4 linked regions of the Arabidopsis thaliana genome follow. The protein of the gene in region 2 interacts with the protein of the main gene of each other region in a biochemical or structural test. Each region holds a gene or a part of one and is shown on either strand. Other genes may lie near its edges.

Region 1 (4,118 bases), on a different chromosome or scaffold from region 2:
TAACTTCCGTTCCCTTTTAACATAGCAAGTACTTGTACATCTCTAATTTTGTATACATCGTGCCAAACTGTTTGTCTTACTACCAATCGATATCGAAATATAAACATAGGAAATGGTCAAACACTTGGTATTTCATTTTAAAACATAGGTCGGCAATAACAAATGACAACTTTGACACAAGATATAGATAATAAATGTCAATGTACTATTCAGACGGCATAAATAAATTCAGTTGACCCTTAACTTGTCTTTCGGATTTCACATTTATATAGACAAACTCAAATGCATTATTCGACACCAAAACCCAACCAACTCATTAAGTACTCATTGACTTTTAATCATTCATCAATTTAGTCAACTTTACTTTCGCGAGCAATCCAACGGCCACCAAGTCATTTATATTAATTAAGGAAAAAAACAATGAATAATGAAAAGTAAATGACGAACATAAGTCTATATCATTTGGTGCGCAATTAATTTCATAACCTCTACGGTTCTACCTAATACCCATATCTACTAATCATCAACAACAATAGTATAAAACATTGCACCACCACTAATTTTTCTCTATTTAAATTGATTTCTTAATAAAAAAATTTACAAATTTCAATCCATCTAAAGTACTCAAAAAATCAAAAAACAAATAGTACAAAAAAAAGTCAAGCCGAGGCAAACACTAAATCATTAATGCCTGAAGAAGAAATATTCTCCTGCATCGCGGATTGGTTATGACGGTGCTCTCCTTCGTATGTCACAATAAGCATCGCTGGATCATCTAATGCTCGTTCCACGTGTTTCCTCGCTGGACATCCTCTGAATGTACTGCACTTGTAGTAACCACTGGATCGCAAAAAACAAATAAACACCGTTAGATCGCGATTAAATTAAATACCAACGGTGGATATTAGACGGGTGTAGGATATTTACCGTGGGTGTGGTGAGCCCTTGATCGGTTTTTGTCCGTACTTCCTCCACGAATATTCGTCCGGTGGAATATCGGCGATCTTTGCACTTATCGCCGGTACTCTCACGGTTCTCTTCATCCGATTTTTCCTGCTTCATTAAAAATCAAATAGAAAATATTAATTAACGGAAAAAACATTGGGTTCCAAAAGTCAACGGTCAAAACTTGAGTTATTCATTGAGCTCAACCGGTTCTAGTCATTGTCGGCGCGCAATACCAAAACATGCCCGACATTTAAAGCAACTAGACCGATAACCGGGACAGTATTACTAAACCGGGTTCACCTAATTGAATTATTAGACTATTTTTTAATTATTGATATAGCGAGGGTAATAGTCAACTATGGGTTGAAACTTTTGAAATTAAATAACTGAAGTCACTGAGTAGTTGTTAGAGCGACAGGTGGGTGACGTAACAATACCTTTTCTTGCAATGGCACTTTCCGTAGGCGGAGCCGGAGACTTTTCCGGAGAAACTCTCTGAGTGCTCATGCTCGAGACATCTCTTTCTGTAAGGATGACCAGCCAACGGTGGTTTTCCGGAAGAGTTAACAGGCTGCAACGGAGCAGAAGCAAGGAAGATTTTTCCATTGGAGACGCTGCCGTCTCCGGTTATCGCCGACGACATGAATGAGGAGTTTAAAGAAACACTGAAGTTTTCTTTGGAGAATTCCAGCTCGGCGCTCTTAGCTTTGGTGCCGAAGATGCTTGGTTTAGAGAAATCGAGTGTTACACTAGACGGTGGAGGAACGATTTGAGGGTGATTCGTAGTTGTTCTCACTATCGGAGCCTCAGGTTGAGTATTTTTAACGATCTGACTCTGTAGTTTCTGAGATGCGGCAGAGGAAGTGGAGTGAACCGGTCCGCGTCTGAACCGAGCGTGACCAGTACGGTTAAGGAGAGAAATGACGGTTTTGAATTTAGAAACGGTGAAGTCAGTGATCTCGGAGCAGTCAACGTTGTGTTGTTGTTCGGGACGGTTAGAGAGGACACGGATCAGATGTTCCATACTTTGTAAACCTTGCGATGCAGCTTCCTGAATAGCCGTTTGATCATCTATCTTAGGGAAACGCATTAGATCGACGGCCATGATGATTTCTTGGTCTGAGGATTTTGGAGAGGAACGTTGAAGAAGAAGAAGACGAAGACGAGAGAGAGAAATGGTTGTGATGGAGAAGAGAGAAGAAGAAGGATGCGTGATATATGGGGAAAAGAGGAGGTGACCGGGTCAGATTTTTGGTGATTTTTTAGTCAAACCGGGAAGGAGGTTTTGATCCAACGGCTGTGATTGAGTTGAGGATTTCCACGGAATAAAGCAATCAACAGTTTGGTCTCCTCAAAGTTCGAGGTTACTGGGACCCACCCCTGGCATCCGAATTTTATCGTTACTTCAAATTCAAGATATTTTTCAACCCAAAAAGATAATGGATGGACAGAATTTTCTCTAAATAACAACACTCTTAACAAAAATCATTCAACTTAGCTTAAGCAAAAGGTGTAGAAAGAAGTTTGCATGACCAAAGTAAGTAAAAATAATGTCAATGATTCATTCACACACAATGGAGAAAGAGGGCCAGCTGGAATTTGGTTGAGGCAAGAGAAGGAAGAGTTGTCAACGAGAGACAGAGATGATTGATTAATCCCAAAATAATAATAATGGATACATTTGACTTTTATAAAGCTTTAATTATATATTATGTTTGTCCCAATTTGAATCTTCTGTATTCTTTCAAATTCTACGGACTTTAATATTTGTCAACTAGATTTACGATTAACTAATTCAAGACTAAGTTAAGGGGTTTCCATAACCAATAAATATTTGGCGCCGGACTTTTACTTCTTTTTTGTCTTTTTCTATTGATAAAATTTGACTGTTTACTTATTTACAACAAGAAGTTTTCATTTTAGAAACAGTCTTCACTTGGAAACTTTATTAACCTCAAATTCACCTAAGTATTCTACACATATTGTGAAAACAACAAATAATAATAGTCATTATAATTAAAATAGCAGTAATGGTTTGACTAATGATTTTAAAAGTCCACTAGAACAGCGATTCATCAATACGACAAAGGAAGGTGAAAAGCTGACTATTTAAAATGTTAAAGTAGTAGTGCTACTAAATTATTGTAAGAAAATAAAAAATAACGAATTTACGATTATTTCTTTGAACATAAAGCTATTTGACGACCTCGGTAACCGGGTGGTCCCATTAACTCTTATATGAACCACTGGATTTTCGAAAGGTCAATCCAACGGTGGATCTGTGGATACAAGTGTTGACTATGTTTTTATGATTTTATGAGCCTATTAAAATCTCCAGCCAGCTATTAAGTTCTTGTCACGTGTCGACTTTTGTTATCATGTTCCACTATTGAAATTGTTTCAAAAATGAATGGAACAGAAATTAGGCAAGGCATAAAATTGAGAAAAAGGGAAAAAAAATTTATTTAGTGTTTTGATGAATTATTTTTGTTTGTAGAATTTTTATTAACGAATGATTGAAAAATAAAAAATATCGGAAATTGTATATAGTGACATAAAATGTACTCGTATGTATCAACATTATCTTGGATACTAGTCCATTGGTTACAAAAATAAAATCTTCCAACTTGGATTTTAATCGTATTCAGTAATTGTGATTATCTTAGCTGGCAATAATTATATTGTCTCTCTATGTTTTGGAAATTAATCTGGACTTCAGCTTAAAATTCTTAAATTATTAACAAAATAAAAAATGAAAATAGAACGTGTTGAGTGTTCATGTAACGTGTTTTATGGCTATATATGGGTGGGGAAGAAACCATGGATTGTTGTTATTTAAAACAGTTTCTTATGTCAACGATTAAATTATAACATGGGGTAGTTGACCCGATCGACCGAGTTGTATTATTATTGTCGTGCACGTCTATATTATCTACATAGTTACAAAATCTCAATGATCATCCTTTTTTCTATGTCTCAATCACTCATTGTGTTATAATATTTCTGAGCATCTCTTTTTCTTCCCGATCAATATTTGTTTGGTTAACATTAGAATAAGATAACAAATATATATTTGTAAGAGAAAAAACTAACATGTCAATGCGGTTTTGGAACTAGTCTTTCACTAATTTTAAAAGTAAACTTGTTTTTGTTCTATACATGCGGGGTAA
Region 2 (4,521 bases):
TGTTATAAACTAGTATTTGGATATTATATTCTTAATCATAAGTTTTCTTAACGAGAGGCTTTTCGAATTCATGTACAATTTGCATTTCTTGATTTATTATGAAAATACTTAAATAGCAACTGATTAGAAAGACTTTTAAGTTTAGGTTTAGTTCCTAAAAAAGTATTTTCTTTGTTTTAATTGTATTATCATCTCACAAGAATTAGACCATATGCCCGCCCACATTGTTGATAGATAGCAAATGCCTAACGCCTAAATCAACTGATAAATTATAACAGTTAGATCGCCAGAGTATTAGTTAAAGTCTCCTAATATTGGTCGTGTATCTTTTCTGAGTTTTCTCTTGCTAATATCTTAAAAACATTGTGATAGTGTTTCTGTACTAGTGCCACCGTCGTATCATAACTCGGATTTAGTGTTGTCGCTATATACTTGGATTCAAGTTTGATAAGTGTGCGTATGTTGTAGACGAAAATTAAACATTGTGGTAGATAGGAAATGCCTAAATGAACTTACTATATTGATAGTACTTTAAAACTTTTTATATAACAGTATAGTAAATATTTAACATATTCAAACAAGATATGACATTTAAAATCCGTTTAATGGGTGTGAGAGGTACAAATCTCTTATTGCACACAAACATATAAAGAAAAGGAATTAAGAAGCAAATGGTCGGAGCTCAGAGAATACGGCAGTGACTTTTCCGGCGACCATTCTTTTCTTTGTATTCAGCAGAATTGCTACTACGCTTTGCTGCCATAACTCTCTTCCCTCTTCTCCTAATAAATTACACACATTTTAAAATAATTAGGTATCAAGATTTTCGATAATATTTAAAAGAAAAAGAAGAAACTAAGCCTTGTAACAAAAAAAAGTAAAAATAAAAAATACTGGTTACCAACAAAAAAGTTCAGTCATAATTAAAGGTTTGGAGATTCTCATTTCATCTATCTAGCTTTTGCTACTTACCATCCATTTTTGATTTTATTCCCCAAAACATATCTGCCTTTTAATTTAAACAATTACGTTCTACCTCACGAATAACTACTGTATGCATACACCACTTTTTATATGTTTTTGTTAAAATGTAGAATATATTGAATCAAGAAAAACACGAATGTTATTTACAAAGCTGAAAGTTGAAGTGGGGAAAAAGAGAACTGAAGCTTGAAAACTTTTGAAAGAAAAAATGAAATGGAAGTTATGTTTTTCTTTAACCCTTTTTCGTATTTCCTAAATTTTATCTCTTGTTTTAATCGTTACAAATGATAATACTTTTTTCTAACAGTTTACTTATTTTCTTATATGAACCGTAAAATAAGAAAAACATATTTTAATTTGACTCAAATTATATGGATTATTGCCAACATTCCTCTAAAAAATAGGGGAATTTCCAAATTGACCAACAATTTAAAAATAAATAAAAAATTCTAAGCTTTTAAAACTACCGATATAATGTTTTCAGACATTTTTCCTACAAATTTTAATCACACAAATAACCCTTTTTTTTTTTAACAAACATTGCAAACTATAAAATACAATAAAATAAAAAAGTACTAATACCAAGAGATAGCTTTTTCAACGACCATTACAATGGTACTTCACATAATATAAAATAAACTAAAAACTTCCAAACAAATAATTTAACCCAAAGTCACAAAATAGTTCATAACATGAAATTTGGGACGAATGCATAATAATGAACAGTCAAACATAGAATAAAGCAATAATCAGAGTTGTTCAATTCAAAAAAAGAAAGAAAGAAAAAGAGAGAAAAGATATGAGAATAGTTTCCTCACTTTGCCATCATAACTTTGACAAACTCTTCATAATTGATCTGACCATCTCCATCAACATCAGCTTCTTTGATCATCTCATCAACTTCTTCATCAGTTAACTTCTCACCAAGATTTGTCATTACATGTCTTAACTCAGCTGCCGAGATGAAACCGTTCTGGTCCTTATCGAAAACCCTGAAAGCTTCTTTGAGCTCTTCTTCAGAGTCAGTGTCCTTCATCTTCCTAGCCATTAGGTTCAGAAACTCAGGGAAGTCTATGGTTCCGTTACCATCAGCATCTACTTCGTTTATCATATCTTGTAACTCTGCTTCTGTTGGATTTTGACCTAATGATCTCATCACTGTTCCTAGCTCTTTCGTTGTGATGCAACCTAAACACAAAACCACACATTTCTCTCAAATCAGTAACAGATTTTAACACCAAATCTTCAAATTTTCATTGTAATTTACTCTAATAACACACAAAATCTTCAAATTTCATTTTAGTTACTCTAACAACTGTATCAAATGAACACAAAATCTTCAAATTTCATTGTAACCTACTCAAATAACTGAATCAATTAAACAAAAAATCTACAAATGTCAATGTAATCTACTTCGATTATTGAATTCTAAGATTTGTGTCAATTCTAATCACAATTAGTAAAATCTGGAAGACTAAAACACGATTAAGTTAGAGATTATTATCGAGATAGATCCGATTGCGATTATAATTTATAATCAACGAACGATAAAGATATCATCAAATCTCGCGTTTAATGTTAATGTGAATATCCAGAGATTTTATGGACAACGAAGAGCATCAAATTCCTAAAGCCAAGACTAAGTGATACTCAAAACACCAAAAAAAACGCAAGTGAGTCTATTATGAATGAAAATTATACAAAAGAGGAAAGATCTGAGAGAGAAGAACCATCTCCGTCTTTGTCGAAAAGGCTAAAAGCTTCCTTGAACTCAGAGATCTGATCATCGGTGAGCTGATCTGCCATTTTTTGGTTTAGATGAGAAAGAGAGAAGAAGAAGAAGAAGAAGAATCAACGTTGGTGTGTGTAATGAGAGGATTGTTGTGTGGAATTATAAAGAAGGAAAAAGAAAAGGCCCATTAGGCCCAATAACAATAATTTCGAATCTGATTCTCTTTTTTATTCTTCTTTTGTTTTGTTCTCCACTGGGCCTTATTGTGTTTTCAATTCGACTAGCTTTACTTAAGAGGGAGGTGATGTATATATTCCCTTGTGAAAAGAAATAGTATTGTTGTTTTGCCGACAACCATTTACATGCTTTGAATGGTTTAGTTCATATAAGTTACTGATCTTACCATGCGTACCAATACTAAGTATTCAACGAGTTGGTAGAATGGGATTACTAGTGATATAAAACGGTAAAAAAGGTTTAGCTTTGTGTTTACCATGGATTTTAAACTACTTTTTAATTAAGTTAACCAAAGAAAAAGTTTTAGCATTATAAGAAAATTTAGAAATAGTAGTACTTTTTATTTACTGTTTTTGTAATTAATAATCATCTAGGAGTTAGGACAAAAATCACTACTTTGTTGTTGGAAGGGTCACCTAATGGGTAGTTAAGCATCATGACCTTCACTTAAAGATTTGATATTAAACAAGATCCAGTTTTCGCAAAACTGTCATACTTTTTTGATCGCCACAACTATGTCTCTCAGTTTGGCTAGAGATGTAGTAAAAAACAAACTTATTGTATCCATCACAATTATAGGTAATTTACTGTCTTGGTTTTAAAAACATGTAATGTTGAGCATCCCAAAGTTTGTGTGTCCCAATGCTAGAGCATATTATAGTCTTACCTCTAGTGAGTTCATAAAGAAGTGTTGTATGATCATATATTTTGTTGAGTAAGAGAAATATTTCTTTCTTCCTCATGTGGTTGATTATTCAAAATTATACAAAAGAGGAAAATCACTTAAAAATATTCACGATACCGTTAAAAGATTACCAAAGAATGGGCCAAATCATAATATTAATAAAGCCCGTTAATAACCGAATCGACCCACCCGACAAAACAACCCGAATCGTTTTAATATCCAACCCGGAGTCAGACGGAGCTCCAAAGATTTGGCTTGTCTCTGGCTTGAGAACAAAGAAAACCCCTTTCTTCGATCTCAGCTTAAATCACTCGACGAAGAAGAAATCAGAAAAGAGTCAGAGAAAAAAAAAATCAAGGAAGATGAGTAGCATTGGAACTGGGTACGATCTCTCCGTCACCACTTTCTCTCCCGATGGCCGTGTTTTCCAGATCGAGTACGCCGCTAAAGCTGTCGACAACAGTGGGTTAGTTGGCTTTATCTTCTTCGATCTTCGCCCTTTAGTAGATCGGATTTAGCTTCTGAAAACTTTGAGATTTTGGTTATCGACACGAATTAGGGTTTGTTAAAAGTCTTTCCCTTTTTTTTTCTTCGCAGGACTGTTGTTGGAATCAAGTGCAAAGATGGGATTGTTATGGTTTGATTCTTCCTCCTTCCTCTATTGATTTTTATACTACTTTGTCACTTTCTTCAGTGGGTTTAGTCTCTCGTGCTGTGATTTAACCTTGGAATGAAGTATTCACATTTTTGTTATCAGAATTGTAGATTTGATGTAATATATACCGTGTAAATTTTGACCCAAGATGACACATTTTACAGTCCCTTAGTTTCATTTCCTGTTCGATATGTTGTGAATCTGTTGTTAGTTTTGGGTTTTGTAAGA
Region 3 (4,409 bases), on a different chromosome or scaffold from region 2:
ACATATAATACAATTAAACAAATTTTAACTAATTAGATAACATACTCTAAAATATGATTGGTCTAAAAAATTTTAAAACATCTTTTTAAAAAAAGTCTCTAAAACATCACTTAAAAGTGATATTGAAGAGTTATAACGCAATGATGCATGAATAGCTGATTTTCTTGGTAACAAAATTTTGTAGTAAAGCTTTAAATTTTTTACTAAATGTTGAAGTACTTTACACTTGAATTTATAGCCGTTAACATAATCATAAACATTGTCAACTTTGTTGGAAAAAACACACTTAAAAGGATAACGACATTGCATCTGAGGTTTTTCACTAATGCTGAAATAAATACTTATTAGAGCTACTTATTATTTGATCGACAACTTTTCTAGTTTCTATAAACGTGTGTTAAGTTGATTTGACTATGTAATCTACAAATAGTTCTTTTTTTTTTTGTTTAACGAAATTTGAATTGCAATTTTTTCCAATTACCAGCATAGCATTATGGTCAGTTGAATCTAAATTAACTGATAATTTCCCTAAAAACTCAAATAGTTCTGCAAGTAAGAAAAGAATCAGAGATTTGACAAAAATAGTGCACTAAATATATATTATCCTAGAAATAAATAAACAGAAAAGGACATTCACATGATTCAACTTCCATCAAGATCCACAACGTTCCTCTCTCGTCTTTATCTCCCCTCCCTCTATTTCCTCCAATCAAAAAGAAAGATAAAGCAAAAGCTTTTCAAAAAGAAAAGAATAAAAAAGTGCAGTGCGGGCCCACTCTGTCGTTGACTAATCTGGATAGTGGTCACACACAGACAGTTCCCCTCAAACTCGAGAAACTAAAGAGTTTTGTCATGATTCATCGTCGTCGTCTCGAGAACCAAAGCATGGTTGTGGTCTCCTTCGTACGTCACGATTAGCATCATCGCATCATCTAGTGCACGCTCCACATGCTTACGCGCCGGACAACCTCTTACACTGCTGCACTTGTAATATCCCCTGTCATAACCATTACACCGAGTCCTCCCCAGTTAGTTCGAGTTCTTATTAATTAATGAGAAAAGAAATAGTCAACTTAACTCTCGGCTTTCTATTTCAAATTTATTCTATAGGAAACAACAAGTCAAAAAGAGCGTGAAACTGAACCCACTACTGTACTACTAGACAACATGTTTGGTACAACCGATATAGAAAAAAACAATATTGACAATCTCTCTGGTACTAATATTGACAATACACAAGTTGCTTAATTTTCTAGCCAATATTTGATTTTTGGTGTTGAATCTAGTGAGTGATTGTGATGTATGTGTAGAGTATATATATCGATGGTAAAAAATGTAAAAAATAATTACCGAGGATGAGGAGAGCCTTTGATTGGTTTTTGACCATATTTTCTCCATGAAAACTCATCTGATGGTATATCAGCCATTTTGCTACTTACTGCTGGAACTCTAATCACTCTTTTTACTCTTGATTTCCTGATTTTTTTACACAAATTATAATTAACGTTTTATTAATCAAATCTCAAGATTTAGATCTAAAATAAGATTAATTTTTAATAATAGAAGTTGAATCAAAACCTTTTCTTGGAGCAATGGCAACGGCTTGAGGGAGATGAATTACATCTTCTCTTCAACGAAGCTGATGATAAAGGAGGTTTACCTCTCGAACCAGAGAGCTGAGATGGGTTAGTGAACTCGAATCCTGATGACATGTGAGTACTATCGGTGTCACATCTATGAGAAGACATGAATGAGTTCGTCGCTGAGACTGGTGGTGACGGCGCAAAGTTTATCGTTGACGGTGCTCCGTTTGCGAGCATCGGAGGAGATGAAGAAGACGAACCGTTCTTTGTTTGATTCTGATTGTTGTTGTTATTGTGTGATAGAGGAGGACGACGATGAATTGGTGTTGGACAATAAACTCTAAACGCAGATCCACCACCGTGATATTGCTCTGTTTTCTGTTTTGTTAACACGGAGCTTGTTTCTGGCTTCTTCTCCTCCACCTCCACCTCCTCCTCAACCACCGGCGTTTGCTTAAACGGCGTTTGCGTTGACGCGGGAGCTCGTCTGAATCTAGCGTGTCCGGTTCTAGATCTACCGAGTAGAGAAATGACCTTCTTGAAGCTGTTAACGGCGACGTCAGTCACCGCGGTTATCTCCGTCTGACTCTTCTCCGTTGGTTGTTGACTTTGACCGATCAGTTTAAGAAACTCCTCCACACCGTGAATCCCTGCAGAAGCAGCTTCTCTCAAAGCGGTATCTTCCATTTTCGCCGCCGCGGCGATTGCAGGAAAACCATCACCTCCTCCTCCGCCGCCGCTGTAGCTGCTCATCATCAGCTCAACAGTCATCTCATCAAATCAGAGACCAACCACTCAGATTCTTATTAAAGGTCAAAGGAGATGTAAATAAATACAAAGATTCAACAGTTTTCTTGTAAGTTGTGTTTTTGGTTAAAGAAGAAGATGATGATGATGATGAGGGGAAGAATAAATGAAGAGAGTGAAAAAGGGGGAGAGTCAACGATATGCGTTTCTCTCTCTATATCTTTAGGTATGTGTTGATAGTGCATCAGTCAAATCGACCACCACTCATAGGCTTACACGTGTGATCATTTGTCAAGCGTTTTGACACTCCTCAGCGTCAATGATTTTAAATTTGGAGCAAGTGGAGCTCGAATTATATATATATTCGTTATTATTATTCGAGAAAAATCTAAGATATTTTATATTTTTGAGGCTGATTAGATGCTAAAAATATAAAAATTAAATTTTTAATTAAAGAAAGATCTAAAAGGAGGAAGGTCTCTCTCTTCTCTCTATAGTATTTTTCAGAGAAAGATTTTTCCGATGTAAGTTTAGAATCGCCGTCCGGGTTTCTTCCGGTTTCCGTTATCTGGATTTTTTCCGGCTATTATCTCCCGTTGATCGGGATTTAGATTTCTTTTTGGGCAATTTTGAATTCGGTTTCTTCGGATTTGTTTTTGTTTTGTAGCTTTAAAATCTTGATGATGAAACATTATGACAGGCAGAATCTTCAGTTCCGAAGAGGTGTTCTCTTCGCATGATTTAGTTTCTTTCTGCTTTGATTGGCTTCACCGTTGGGTTCTGTTTTTTTTGGCTCCAACAGTTTTCCGGCGATGTGTGCGTTCTCGACAATTAGGTTCGTTTGGATCTACTGTGTTTAAGACAGTTTCAATTTCTCCACGACTAAGGTTAGGTCAAAGCTCGTTTCCTATGCAATTAAGATATGCCTTTGTTGTTCTTGCAAGAGATTTAATTGTTAGACAAGTTTGAACTACTCAGTTTTCTCTAATTTCTTTTACCCATTTTTGCCGAATCCTTTGTGATTCTTGCAATCGGATGAGATTAGGAGATTGATGTTTGTTCTGTAACTTTTAATTGGTGATAAAAAAGAAGTCTCGTTGACCGGTGATTTTCCAACGACGTTTCTGATTCACCAGGCTTGAGTCTCATGTGCAGTGGAGGTTAGGCCTGGGCACGAAGCGAATATCCGGAAAATTTGGGATATTTGTTATTCGATTCGTTTTAATCGAATACTTAATTTTATTATTTGCTTTGATCCGAAAATTTCCAAATATCCGAAAATACGAATATCCGGATTTTTGTATGATATTTGTCGGATATCCGCTTTGCTTTGCTACATCCAAATATTTTTTTATATAAATTATTTAACATAGATTTCAAATTTCTTACCTTATGACTTACGAGTGTGAGATTGAGAGCAACTGAAAATTTTCTGGTTATAAATTCTGTAACCAAATTGAGTGATAAAAATAGTGAAAGGTCGAAGAAAGGAAACAGAAATGTCGCTCTTATATTTGATGGATTGGAAAGTAAAACGACAATTTTAGGATAAAATATAAAAAATAAAACAATTTTATTTTAAAAAATTCCACTTCTCTAATAAAAACTGTGTCACAAAAAAAACACAGGCCCAAAGGATACAAATACAAGCCCAAATCCCAACATATACAAATGCACAACCTATATTGTGATATATATATATATATATATATATAGATCGAAGCGAATATCCGACTTTAGAAAAAATAGTATTTGTTATTTGCTTCGGTTTTTACGATTACTACATTTTTCTATTTGCTTTGCTCCAAAATCTTACGAATATTCGGATTTTTCGAATCAAATCAAATCGAATATTGAGTTAAAGCGGATCGAACGAATATTTTGTCCAGGACTAGTGAAGGTTGTGGACGTTCCACGTGTCCCTAGCTTATTATTATTGGTCTGACACGTCTATAGCTTATCTCTTCTTTTGTGTCGTATGAGCCTTTATATGTGGGATGTCTTGGGCTTTATTTTGGTTTTCTCATAACCAAGCATTGTACTGGTAATGATAAAATGAATAAAATATTACACTTATGA
Region 4 (3,711 bases), on a different chromosome or scaffold from region 2:
GGGTGTAAAATATCTTTCTATTTCATATATATTATCATTTAAGGTCAAGCATTAGTTTAACCATATTATTTTATCCTTTGAAAAATTTTGTACTATGAAATTAATACATCTAAAATAAGACCCATTTTTTTCTAGCATGACACATCAACTTTTTCAGTTGTTCTCAACATAATACATCATTGAAATTGTCATTCATTAAAAATATTTTGATTAATACATTTTATTTGTTTCTGTTAAAACTTATTTCATTGATTTCAAAAAAAAAGAAAAAAAAAACTTATTTCATTATCTTAGACTTATTGTTTAAGAAGTGGGCTTATTAAAGATGATCTTTAGTTCTAAAAAGCTTACCTATTATTTCATTTTTTTTAAGCTAACCTATTATTGTCTTTGTTGATATAGAATTCTTAGGTTTATAATATACGGCTGTTGTATATTTATTTTGGAAAGATTAGTTGCTTAATTATTTGTTTGAGATATGTCTATATCAAACTAATGACATTATCTCTAGATATTTTAATAAAGATAGATAATTATTTAAATGAGTTAAAAATATCATTTAGATAATTATTTAAATGAATTAAGAATATCCTATTAACTAATGTTATTTTCGTTAATAACACATAAAGATAAAAATCTATTTTTCTTAAAATATTTCCTTTCTAATTACTTTTATAAAGGAGAAATCTTATGACTTTATTAATATTATATTTCATTAAAAATAAATATTGTATTTATTTAAAGTTTATAAAATGTTTAGAATATTTAACGAAAAAACGTTTATAATATATGAAATCTATAAAATCAAATAATCATTTCAAAAGAAAACTTTTAAATTAATTTGAATTATAAATCTTTTAATAAAAATATTATTTGAACAAAAAAGAAAAAATAATGTTTAATTTTATCAAACTGAATTTGGGTCGTACGAGATTAGATGGTAGGACGGGTTTGGATCGATAGTAATACGAAACGGTATACCACGGGTGAAATCCTAAATAAAACAATCAAAATACAATTATATTATCTTAAATATTAAACAAAACAAATAATATTAGTAAAATAAATATAATTTAAATTTAAATTATTTAGTTATAATCTAAATTTTAATTTAATGAATGGTATGTTATTGTTTCTACATTTTTAATAGTAAAAATCAAATATAATAATTATATATTTAATAATATATAGATATAAGAGTTATACATTCAGAAAATACATTTAGAAAATATAAAACATTAAATCATATATATTTTTAATCAAAAAAACAAATTAAATTTTTATTCTTAAAAAATAAAATAATCATGCGGTATACTGCGAATCAAAATCTAGTTAATATATAAAGAGTTAGCTAGTATACATAAATAAGAAATAATTAAGACACATTATCACAAAACTAATATTTATGCAGAACATTATTTGGTTGTCACCAAAAATATTATTATTTCCAAAGAAAAAAGAAAAGAAAAAGTAGATGCAAAGTAGGTCCAGTAATGGAACCCACCACGAAAATCTTTTACAGAGAACTCTGTTTTTCTCTCCTTTCCTCTGTGACTGTGATGAGTGACGACCATCTCCACTCTCCCTTCTCTCACCAATCTCGAAGCTTTGCTTTATACTGAGAGAAGAATATTTGTTTCTTCTTCTTACAGTGAGAGAACAATTTTCTGCTTTTAACCCTTGTTCTTGAGCTATTATTTTGATTTTTATGGTTTCCATGTTTGAGCTAGCTCATGATGATTATTCTTTTCTTTTGAAATAGTTTTTTTTAGCGTTTGAGTTTTGAGGTTTTTCGTTTTTTAAAAGTATCCTTTGTGAAGAAGAAAATGGAAGAAGTTGAAGCTGCAAACAAAGCAGCAGTGGAAAGTTGTCATGGAGTATTGAATCTCTTATCACAACAAACCAATGATTCCAAATCAATAATGGTTGAAACAAGAGAAGCTGTTTGCAAGTTCAAGAGAGTCTCCTCTCTTTTGTCTAGAGGGTTAGGTCAAAGGAAGATAAAGAAACTCAACAACAACAACTACAAGTTTAGCTCTTCTTTGTTGCCACAACACATGTTTTTGGAGAGTCCTGTTTGCAGTAATAATGCTATAAGTGGTTGTATTCCAATTCTAGCACCAAAGCCTCTTCAGATTGTACCAGCTGGTCCTCCTCCATTGATGTTGTTTAACCAGAATATGTGTCTTGATAAGTCGTTTCTCGAGCTGAAGCCACCCTCTTCACGAGCTGTTGATCCAAAACCTTATCAGTTTATTCATACCCATCAGCAAGGAGTGTACTCAAGGAGCAAAAGTGGTTTGAATCTAAAGTTTGATGGGTCTATTGGTGCTAGTTGTTATTCACCAAGTATATCAAATGGGTCAAGATCGTTTGTTTCATCTCTTAGTATGGATGGTAGTGTGACGGATTACGATAGAAACTCTTTTCATTTGATTGGATTACCTCAAGGTTCCGATCATATATCGCAACATTCTAGGAGGACTAGTTGCTCTGGTAGTTTAAAATGTGGAAGTAAAAGCAAATGCCATTGTTCCAAGAAAAGGTTGGTTTTGTTCTTCCTTGAGAAAAAAGTGTTCTAAGAGTTTGTTTATTTCAATGTTTTGGTGTTTGTTTACAGGAAATTAAGGGTGAAACGATCGATTAAAGTACCGGCAATCAGTAACAAGATTGCGGACATACCTCCCGATGAATATTCATGGAGGAAATACGGACAAAAGCCGATTAAGGGTTCTCCTCATCCTAGGTAAAATAACATTACAAGAAGAGAAAAACATTGGACTTTGTTTATATGTTTTGGTTTATAATTTGTTTCTTGTTTTTGTTGTTTGCAGGGGATACTATAAATGTAGCAGTGTGCGCGGTTGTCCAGCGAGGAAGCATGTTGAGCGATGTGTAGAAGAAACTTCGATGCTTATTGTGACTTATGAAGGCGAGCATAACCATTCAAGAATACTCTCTTCTCAATCAGCTCATACTTGATTGATTGTAGTAACGGTCTTCAATTGTATATTCTACTTTGCAAACTCGAATTTTTGTGCATAACAATTTGGCTTCAGCTTTATCTATATATAGGTTTAAGTTAGATATGCATAATCTAGAAGTTGTTTTGGTTTGGCTTTGTTGAGTTAAACTGGTGACTCATATAATTTGGTTCCTTTCCCCAATTGATTTTAGTACTCAAAGCCCATCAGAAGGTAACCATGCAAAATAATAACAAACTCTTTAAGAATTAAGTTTAATGGTACTGTAGCTGAAGTTAATCTTGAAACTAAAGAATAACATAACCCCATAAATGAAATGTAACCATCTACGAGGAAAAGCACCAAGTTTCGATGGCAAAGACTAAAGTTTCTTAAGAACACAAGAACAAGCTTTAAAAGAATAACTCTCTTTTATTGATGATTAGAAAACTCTCTCTCAACCTAAGAGGTGTATATAGGAGGCACAACTTTGCTAATCGTATTACAATTAGGACTTAGATAACTCCTAAACCTAATAGAAACTTCTAGGCCTTTCTTAGTCTTTAACCTCCTCATTAAAGACTACTTGGGCCTTAAGTTAACTTTGAAGTTTACCCAACATTCTCCCCCATAAGCTTCAAGTTAACTTTAGAGAGGTCTTGAACTCCAAACAAACTTCTCATTGTCTTGAACTTGATCTGTGTCAATGCCTTAGTCAAGATATCCGCCTCTTGCTCAATCTTGATTC

Evidence for each region.
Region 1: the proteins of CAM5 (region 2) and WRKY11 form a complex in vitro, tested with the Arabidopsis thaliana proteins (one study listed by BioGRID).
Region 3: the proteins of CAM5 (region 2) and WRKY7 form a complex in vitro, tested with the Arabidopsis thaliana proteins (one study listed by BioGRID).
Region 4: the proteins of CAM5 (region 2) and WRKY74 form a complex in vitro, tested with the Arabidopsis thaliana proteins (one study listed by BioGRID).

Annotation. Positions count from the first base shown.
Region 1 is NC_003075.7:15,289,406-15,293,523, forward strand, and holds WRKY11 (WRKY DNA-binding protein 11), read right to left. Parts: upstream 2,135-4,118; 5' UTR 2,054-2,134; coding exon 1,386-2,053; intron 1,057-1,385; coding exon 928-1,056; coding exon of another isoform or gene 924-927; exon of another isoform or gene 841-923; coding exon 660-840; 3' UTR 542-659; downstream 1-541. UniProt on the Arabidopsis thaliana protein: Transcription factor. Interacts specifically with the W box (5'-(T)TGAC[CT]-3'), a frequently occurring elicitor-responsive cis-acting element.
Region 2 is NC_003071.7:11,530,338-11,534,858, reverse strand, and holds CAM5 (calmodulin 5), read right to left. Parts: upstream 2,893-4,521; 5' UTR 2,791-2,892; coding exon 2,715-2,790; intron 2,173-2,714; coding exon 1,803-2,172; coding exon of another isoform or gene 1,799-1,802; exon of another isoform or gene 1,575-1,798; intron 783-1,574; coding exon 683-782; 3' UTR 501-682; downstream 1-500. Other genes in the region: PAG1 (20S proteasome alpha subunit G1), read left to right, coding at 3,695-4,104, 4,236-4,275. UniProt on the Arabidopsis thaliana protein: Calmodulin mediates the control of a large number of enzymes, ion channels and other proteins by Ca(2+). Among the enzymes to be stimulated by the calmodulin-Ca(2+) complex are a number of protein kinases and phosphatases.
Region 3 is NC_003075.7:12,569,875-12,574,283, reverse strand, and holds WRKY7 (WRKY DNA-binding protein 7), read right to left. Parts: upstream 2,747-4,409; 5' UTR 2,355-2,746; coding exon 1,579-2,354; intron 1,477-1,578; coding exon 1,351-1,476; coding exon of another isoform or gene 1,347-1,350; exon of another isoform or gene 998-1,346; coding exon 838-997; 3' UTR 511-837; downstream 1-510. UniProt on the Arabidopsis thaliana protein: Transcription factor. Interacts specifically with the W box (5'-(T)TGAC[CT]-3'), a frequently occurring elicitor-responsive cis-acting element.
Region 4 is NC_003076.8:10,677,061-10,680,771, reverse strand, and holds WRKY74 (WRKY DNA-binding protein 74), read left to right. Parts: upstream 1-1,567; 5' UTR 1,568-1,826; coding exon 1,827-2,545; intron 2,546-2,620; coding exon 2,621-2,746; intron 2,747-2,834; coding exon 2,835-2,982; 3' UTR 2,983-3,173; downstream 3,174-3,711. UniProt on the Arabidopsis thaliana protein: Transcription factor. Interacts specifically with the W box (5'-(T)TGAC[CT]-3'), a frequently occurring elicitor-responsive cis-acting element.